Ovis aries: one gene and its partner. The protein of the gene in region 2 interacts with the protein of the main gene of each other region in a biochemical or structural test. Links are inferred from orthologs where the notes say so. Each region holds a gene or a part of one and is shown on either strand. Other genes may lie near its edges.

Region 1 (3,810 bases), on a different chromosome or scaffold from region 2:
AGCTCAGAAAAATGAACTCGCTGGAAGCCACCTGCTTGGCTGCCAGGGCCAGCCAATCAGGCTCTGGGGGCACCTCACCTACCACCAGGGATGAGAGCTCGGGGGGCTGGACCTGAAGGGCTGGAGGGCGGACCCTCCCCAAGGCTTGTGCCCCAAGAGAGACAGACAGGAAGAAACAGGAAGCCGAGAGCAGGCAAGAGGTGGTGGGGACAGAGACCTGCAGGCTTGGGGGGCAGCGGCCACCCCCAGTTTCCTGGCTGCACCAGGGCACACTGGGGCAAGGCTCTCGACCCCGACCCGGCCACTCGGCATTTCATCCTTTTTCTCCTACCCTGCTCCCCTCCCTGGCCCCAGGGCTCCTGGGGAATAGATTCTAGAACTCAGACACAGACTCCTCTGTGGCAAAGGCGGGGACAAACTTGAGGAGTTACACTGAATAACTCAGGCTCATTGTACAGATGAGGAAACGGAGATTTTGGATGATTAAGTGACATCTGAAAAGCCACATTTTTGCCTCCTCTGCGATTTGAATCCACAACTGCCTAAAGTCTGAGCTGTATTTCCTTCCTCTCCCCTCCTCTCCGCCCCAGTCTGGGCTGGCCTCGCCACCTTTGCTCACGTCTTCTGGCCAGGCCTTGCACTGTCCTGCTCTTCCACGCTCGCCCCTCATTGTTCTGAGATGGATTTTCTGTAGCTGGTCCCATCACCCCAAAGAGACAACTGGGGCTCCCTCAGCCACCCAGAAAAGTGTTCTGCTTTTGGCCCCCAGCTCTGGAGCCAGAGGAAACCCATAAATACAAACACATTTGCATGAAAGCCCAGGGGTTCTGCATCTGCAGCTAACAGCTAGGTTTAGCGTCCAAGACAGCTGCCGGAAGCGGGAGCAGCGGCCACCAGCTTCCTGGGACAAATGTGTCCCAACAGACAGGTCGGTACCACTTGGTGTTTATTTAGACAGACAAATCAAAGCACCTGGTGGTTCAAACAGCTTGTGCTCCTTTTTCTTTTGGAGGGGGGTAGGAGGTCGCAAGGGTGTGTGTCATATATATATAATACATATATTTTAAAAGATCAACGTATCACCAGTCCCCCACATTTTTTTCTCTACTGAGCAATATATACAGCCTATATATATATATATGTATGTGCATATATATATATAATATATATATATATTTCAATAGATAACTACATTCAAGTCATGAAACACAGGATTTACAATTTCCCTCTGAGGGCAGAGGAAAAGCAAATTCACACACAGTTCACAGAGGAAGTACCATGAAAGCCCAGCTGGACAGGAGCTGAGGCCCCTCTGGGACATGGGGGGCAGGCAGCAGCAGAAATCACGACAACTGCACGGTTGCTTATCGTGGGGGGCAGGCAGGTGCTGATGAAGTGTGGGCCCCACCTGCGCTGCCGGGTCGGCAGATGGTGCTGGCTGACCCAGGCTCCCGGGCTGGGATGGGCTTTTGGGGCACACGTTCAGGAACCTCAGTTTTCCAGGAGCCTCTCAAATTTGGGGTTCACAAAGGAGAAGCCAGCAAATGCTGTTTGGTCCATGGACTCGATGAGGTTCTTGTCACTGTAGGAGAGGCGCGGCTTCTCATTCAGGAACTCCTGGTCGAAGTTGCTGTAGTCTCCAGGTGACTTCTGCAAGCAGAGGGTAGGGGTGTGTAAGCAGGACTCAAAGGGCGAAGGTTCCCGGGGTTCCAGGGACCCACCCCTGGGGCCAGAATCCCTGCTGGGCTGGGCCATGCAGAGCCATCCTTATTGAGAACAGAAAAGGGAGCCTCTCTGCTGGAAGGGAGATGCTGTTACCCAAGAGGCTGAAGGAAACCAGCAGGGGGCCTGGAGGAGGAAACGTGGGCATTTGCCCAAGCAGGCAATACAGCCCTGGGTCAAACCCCTTCCACCACCTGTTTCTGTAGGTCCCACCAGCTCAGACTGGATTTTGCATTTTTAAATGTTTAGGAAAAAAAACAAAAGGAGAATAAAATTTCATGACATGTGAAAATTAAATGAAATTCAATGGTTCAGTATCCATAAATAAAGTTTTATTAGTACACAACCATGCCTATTAACTGACATGCTGCTATGTCTATGGCTACATCTATGGCCACTTTGAGACTAGCTGGCCTGAAAAGCCTACAATATTTCCTGTCAGGCTGTTCACAGGAAAAATCTGCCAACTCTGCTTCTCAGGGTACAGTGAAAGTGTGATAGAAAGAGGTCTCAAGCTGGTGGCCCTCAGGCCAAACTGAGCTGCAGGTACAACCATTTTGACTAGCCATGAGTTTTAACGGCATTTGAGCCAATTTTCTTTTGGCCTCACCACGTGGCTTGTGGGATCTTAGCTTAGCCAGGGACTGGACCTGGCTCCTAGGAAGTGAAAGCTCAGAGTCCTAACCATTGGACTGCCAGGAAATTCCTGAGCCAATATTTTTAAATTAGGAAATATGACATCAAAATCAAGTTTTGGGGACTTTCCAAACTATGGGTTCAATTCCTGGTTGGGGAAGTAAGATCCCATGTGTTGTGTGGTGCAGCCAAAAAAAATTTAAAAAAATCCAGGTTCCTGGCTTCTTTGAAAAACTGACAGAGCAGAGCAGTTTGGGCCAGTTTCCTGGCAGGTCTGTTAACTCTTGGTGCTGAAACCCCTTGGGGCCAGCTCATCACAGGCCCCTACCTCTTCCTTCCGAGAGGGATTGCTGCTGATTAGCACATATGCCTGGTGTTGTTTAAAATCAGTCCATCCCTCTTTCTATCAAAAGCATGACACTAAACGCAGGCTGTGGGATATTCCTACAGCCTGCCTTGCCTGGTAGTAATGTGCCCAGTGCAGGAGGCAGCAAGTTTTAGGTCCCTGGAGTCGGCGGAGTTCTCTGCGGTTTTAAAACACAAACACTGGAGCATGTTACATGGGCTGCTATGTGGTAACAGTGTCCTCAAGGAGCGAGGGGAGGCAAAGGAGAGAAAGAGGAAGGGAGGGAAGAGCTGTGATCAGAGAAGGGCCTTGGTGTCTGACTTCTGAGAAGTCCAGCCTGCCTCTGCTCTCCTGCTCGCTCCTGGCGGCTTCTCTAGATTCTAAGCTGTTGTGTACAGCAACCTTGCTTTCCTTGGAAAGCATCTGGCCCCAGCCTGGCCGGGCCTCCTCAGCCCTGCCCACATCCCATTTCCTCTCAGACCTACTCCAAACTCTGGATCCTGGCTCCTGCCGACAGACCCTCCTCATGGCAACTGATTGTGTGTGGCCTTGTGACATCTCTCATACTGATGCCTTTTATCATAAATGATCATCGGCATGCAACTTTCTTATCTCTCTGAAGAGCTGGGGCCCTCCAGTTCTCGGACTGGGCCTCCTACTCTGCTGTGCATGCAGCCCAGCTCAGTGCTCTGCACTCAGAAGGCACTCAGCATTTTCTATATTTATTGCAAAATGGATTGACTGGGTGGATGGATAGATGGAGGAAGGGAGGCCTTAACTCTGATTACCAAAGCATACTCCCCTGCACACAGTGGGTGTTAAAGAATGTATGGTTGGATTTCCCTGGTGGTGCAGTGGATAAAAATCCACCTGCCAGGGCAGGGGACATGGGTTCAATCCCTAGTCTGGAAAGATTCCACAATGCCTCAGAGCAACCAAGCCCGTGCACCACAGCTACTGAAGTCTGTGTGCCTGGAGCCTGTGCTTCGCAGCGAGAAGCCACCACTACGAAAAGCCCACACACCACAACAAAGAGCAGCCCCGGGTTGCTGCAACTAGAGAAAGCCTGCATGACGCAATGAAGACTCAGTGTAGCCATAAATAAA
Region 2 (4,438 bases):
CGTATGGTCACAACCTCCAGTCCTTCGTCAGTATTTCCATCACCAGCAGTGGCAGATTTTCGTTTGATGTCGTTTCTTGTAAGCCAGGCAAAATGGTCTTTGTGTTCACTGCTCACACTTTAAGGGTAAATAGCTCACCGAGCAGTAAGGCTAGCAATAACAAATATGAAGTATTAAGGGGAAAAGGTAACCAAGCTTCGTTTTAGTTAGCTATTACAGAGTTCTGGAACAGAACGTGGTGACTGGATTGACTTTAACTTGCCTCCACTTAAACACTCGTTTCATGTTATTGAAGCTTGTCAAATCATGACAGCTTATATCTAAAATAATGCAAGGTTCTCTAGATTAGCTGTCCCCAACCTTTTTGGCGGCAGCGACCGGTTTTGTGGAAGACAGTTTTCGACGCGCCTGGGTGGTGGATGGTTTCGGGATGATTTAAGCCATGTTAGAAGCTCCAATAGTTTGGCCGCGTCATGCGAAGAGCCCACTCATCGGAAAATATCCTGATGCTGAGAAAGATTGAGGGCAGGAGGTGAAGGGGGAGACAGAAGATGAGATAGTATCACTGACTCGGACATGAGTTTGAGCAAACTCCAAGGGATAGTGAAGAACTGTGAACCCTGGCATGCTGTAGTCCATGGGGTCGCAAAGAGTAGGGACACGGCTGAGCAACTGAAGAGCGACGACTATTTATTGTGCACTTTATTTCTCTGGAGTAGGAAACGGCAAACCACTTGAGTATTCTTACCTGGAAAATCCCATGGACAGAGGAGGCTGGTAGCCTACAGTCCATGGGATCACAGATTCGGACACTGAGAGACTAGCACACTTTATTCTTACTTTTATTTCATCAGTTCCACCTCAGATCACCAGACAGTTAGATCCCGGAGGTTGGGGACCCCTACTCTAGATGACGAATTTAAGAATTTGGATACATCCTGCAGGCTTCTTTAAAAAGCCAACAAGATATTTCCTATCTCACCACGTAATCCTAGAGTCCGAAGAAGAGGCGGGACAATGCTTCCTAAACCCAGAAAGAATGGGCGTGGAAGGGCGGGGTAGGCGAGGGAGCAGCAGTTTATTGTCCAATCAAGATGCGAGGTTCGCTATATATTTTGGGAAGACCGAGTGCTCACATCACTGTTAGGTAGTTGGCACTACTTACCAATGGCTCGCACTAAGCAGACGGCTCGCAAGTCCACCGGCGGCAAGGCGCCGCGCAAACAGCTCGCCACCAAGGCGGCTCGCAAGAGCGCGCCGGCCACCGGCGGCGTGAAGAAGCCGCACCGCTACCGGCCCGGCACGGTAGCTCTGCGCGAGATCCGCCGTTACCAGAAGTCCACGGAGCTGCTGATCCGCAAGCTGCCGTTCCAGCGGCTGGTGCGCGAGATCGCGCAAGACTTCAAGACTGACCTGCGCTTCCAGAGCTCAGCCGTGATGGCGCTGCAGGAGGCGTGCGAGGCCTATCTGGTGGGGCTCTTCGAGGACACCAACCTGTGTGCCATCCACGCCAAGCGCGTCACCATCATGCCCAAGGACATCCAGCTTGCCCGCCGCATCCGTGGGGAGAGAGCATAAATTTAGTGGCTCCTCCAAGTAACACATACCACCAAAGGCTCTTTTAAGAGCCCCTCAATTGTCACCAAAAGGGAGCTGTTCATTGTCGAGTATACATAATTACCAGCAAATGAAAAACGCCATGAGTTTTAAATGGAACGTATCGTGGACCCAAATATTACTGCCACGGCAATACTATGCAGAAGTGGCTGTATCCTGGGCTCCGAATCAGTCTATTGAACTGTTTCTCGGGGAAGCATTTTTTTAAAGAGAATATTTAATCCTTGGCTAAAGGAAGTGACTGAAAGTGGTCCATTACTTCTTAATTAGTGCTTCCTGTGGATAGTTCTGTAATGACAAACGAAGCGCCTTTCCCCCACCTTTTGCCAAGTGCCATACAACTTAAGATAATGTGTCTCCTGTCTCCCTGTTGCAGGAAGAAATATTGGTCGAGGTTCACAGCAGCCAGTTGCCCAATTACTCAGCTCTCTGCGACTCACCTACAACAGCTGTAAAATGTGGCAAATGAATTAGTTTGTAGACCATACTAAGACGTTCCTGGCACTAAATGCTCAATGAATGTTAGCTATATTATGCCCTTCTTTTGTAAAGCAGACACCGCCACCGCCCCCTCCCCTCCCAGCCTTCCCAAGTTTTCTGAAAGTTTTGTGATTGAAACAGTGGGAAATGCTTGATTGAATCATTTTCTTAAGATCTCCTTTTCTTTAGATCTGGGTTTGCATAATTCTGAAAAAGGCAGACCTGTAAGAAAAACATGAACTATCTGAGGAGGAATTCAAACCGTGAAAGCCATAAAGTAAATATTTTAGGTTTTGCAGGTAACATATAGTCTCTGTCACATCTTAAAGATATTCTTAAAAATACAGAAACTTACCTTGACCATACAAAAATAAGCCAAATAAGATTTGGCCATAAGAGGCTATAGTTTCAACTCCAGGAACCCCTGAAGACATGAAGTGTCAGCCTACAGGTTTTCACAAGAACTGACTGTTGACTGTATGAGAGACCCTAATCATCATTGCATCCAGGGACAAAATCCTCTCCAAGCTTCCTCCTCCCCCAAAATAACAAACATCACCCTCCATTTCACCTCAAAGTTACTGCCTCAGGGCCCTTGGATGTTAATGTTTTCCTGAATTCTCTTGAACTTATATAACCTCCACTCACTCCCTTACTATCCAACCCACACTTATAGTCAGAAGCCAATTATTTCACTGAAAGATACAGGTCTATCTTCATTAAATATACAGAAATATCCACACTGAGGTCCTACAAAAGAAGGTGTTCCTGACCATTCAATTTGTTAAATGTTGGTGGAAATGGAGTTTGAGGGAGAGCAGTGGAAAGTGCTGAAGCTCCAAAGGAGGAAAACAGCTTCTAAGAGAGGGAGAGAGACCCATGCCATCTAAACAGCCTTTCCGCTGTTGCTGGAAGCCCTTGAATAATTTTTAGCCGATTTCAGAGGGGTTTTTTTTCTAAAATACATTTCTGGGTTAAGAAATTTTCTTTCTCATTTTAATGGATTTGCTTACAAATTAAAGGGAGAAAGCTTCTCAATCAAAAACAGACTAAATTTGTTTGAATTTGAAGACAGGTCATTGGATTCTGAAGCCAAAGCAATTTCTATTCCTCATGGAAGAAGTCACTTTGACTACAGAACTAGTCCGAGCCGCGAAATCCCATTCTCTAAAAACAATGGCATCTGGAAACTCCGTGGAAGACAAAACCGATTTTTAAAGTAAAATCTATATGCTTAATTTGTGGCTGTAGGCAACTGGCCATCCTGCACCTGTGTTACTTGCTGCCGTTCGAAGCAAAGTTTAAGCAAAACCAAGGAACCTAGTGTCTTTCCTCTTGCAAAAATCGAAGGCCGAACTTGGCGACAATGCCTTTTAAAAAACATTCACTTGATACTTAACTAAAACTTTATTGCAATATGCAACTACGTAGCTCGATGCCTTACGTCCGGTGAATCTATAGGAAAAGCTGAAGGGATTTTTAAAAATATCTTTCATTAACTGCGCGTGAGTCATAAAAACACAAACAAGTATGTGACCTTGGAGGCTGTTTTCCTCCTCTGAAGCTTCAAAGAGTCAAATTCTGTACCACTGTTTTTAACATTTAATCAAATTTTGGGGACTAACAAACACAGTTTGGGAGTCCAACCACGACAGGCGGCTGCCTGAGGGCGGTGGATCGGACGTTCCACCAATCACAGGGCAGCACCGACTTATATAAACCCGGGCCGGCGCAAGACAGCATTGCAAAACTTGCTCTTTGGAATTTGAGTCTCTCTGCTTCTAGCAGGTTCTCCCATCGCAATGTCGGAAACCGCTCCTGCTGAGACGGCCGCCCCGGCGCCGGTGGAGAAGTCTCCTGCCAAGAAGAAAACAACCAAGAAGACCGCGAGCGGTGGAGCGGCGAAGCGCAAGGCTACCGGGCCCCCAGTTTCCGAGCTGATCACTAAGGCTGTCGCCGCCTCCAAAGAGCGCAATGGCCTTTCTTTGGCTGCGCTCAAGAAAGCGCTGGCAGCCGGGGGCTACGATGTGGAGAAGAACAATAGCCGCATCAAGCTGGGTCTCAAGAGCCTAGTGAGCAAGGGCACACTGGTGCAGACCAAGGGCACCGGGGCTTCCGGCTCTTTCAAGCTCAACAAGAAGGCGGCTGCTGGGGAAGCCAAGCCCAAAACCAAGAAGGCGGGGGCTGCGAAAGCGAAGAAACCCGCAGGGGCCACCCCTAAGAAACCCAAGAAGGCTGCGGGAGCGAAAAAAGCCGTTAAGAAGACGCCTAAGAAGGCGAAAAAGCCCGCGGCCTCTGGTGTCAAAAAAGTGGCCAAGAGCCCCAAGAAGGCCAAAACAGC

The links.
Region 1: of the proteins of H1-5 (region 2) and PRKCD, one has a biochemical effect on the other in vitro, tested with the Homo sapiens proteins (2 studies listed by BioGRID). The link is inferred for Ovis aries from reciprocal best matches to the Homo sapiens genes H1-5 and PRKCD.

The regions. Positions count from the first base shown.
Region 1 is NC_056072.1:47,844,828-47,848,637, forward strand, and holds part of PRKCD (protein kinase C delta type), read right to left. Parts: intron 1,651-3,810; coding exon 1,492-1,650; 3' UTR 1-1,491.
Region 2 is NC_056073.1:29,965,384-29,969,821, forward strand, and holds the start of H1-5 (histone H1.5), read left to right. Parts: upstream 1-1,507; 5' UTR 1,508-3,899; coding exon 3,900-4,438. Other genes in the region: uncharacterized protein LOC101120961, read left to right, coding at 1,124-1,507. UniProt on the Homo sapiens protein: Histone H1 protein binds to linker DNA between nucleosomes forming the macromolecular structure known as the chromatin fiber. Histones H1 are necessary for the condensation of nucleosome chains into higher-order structured fibers.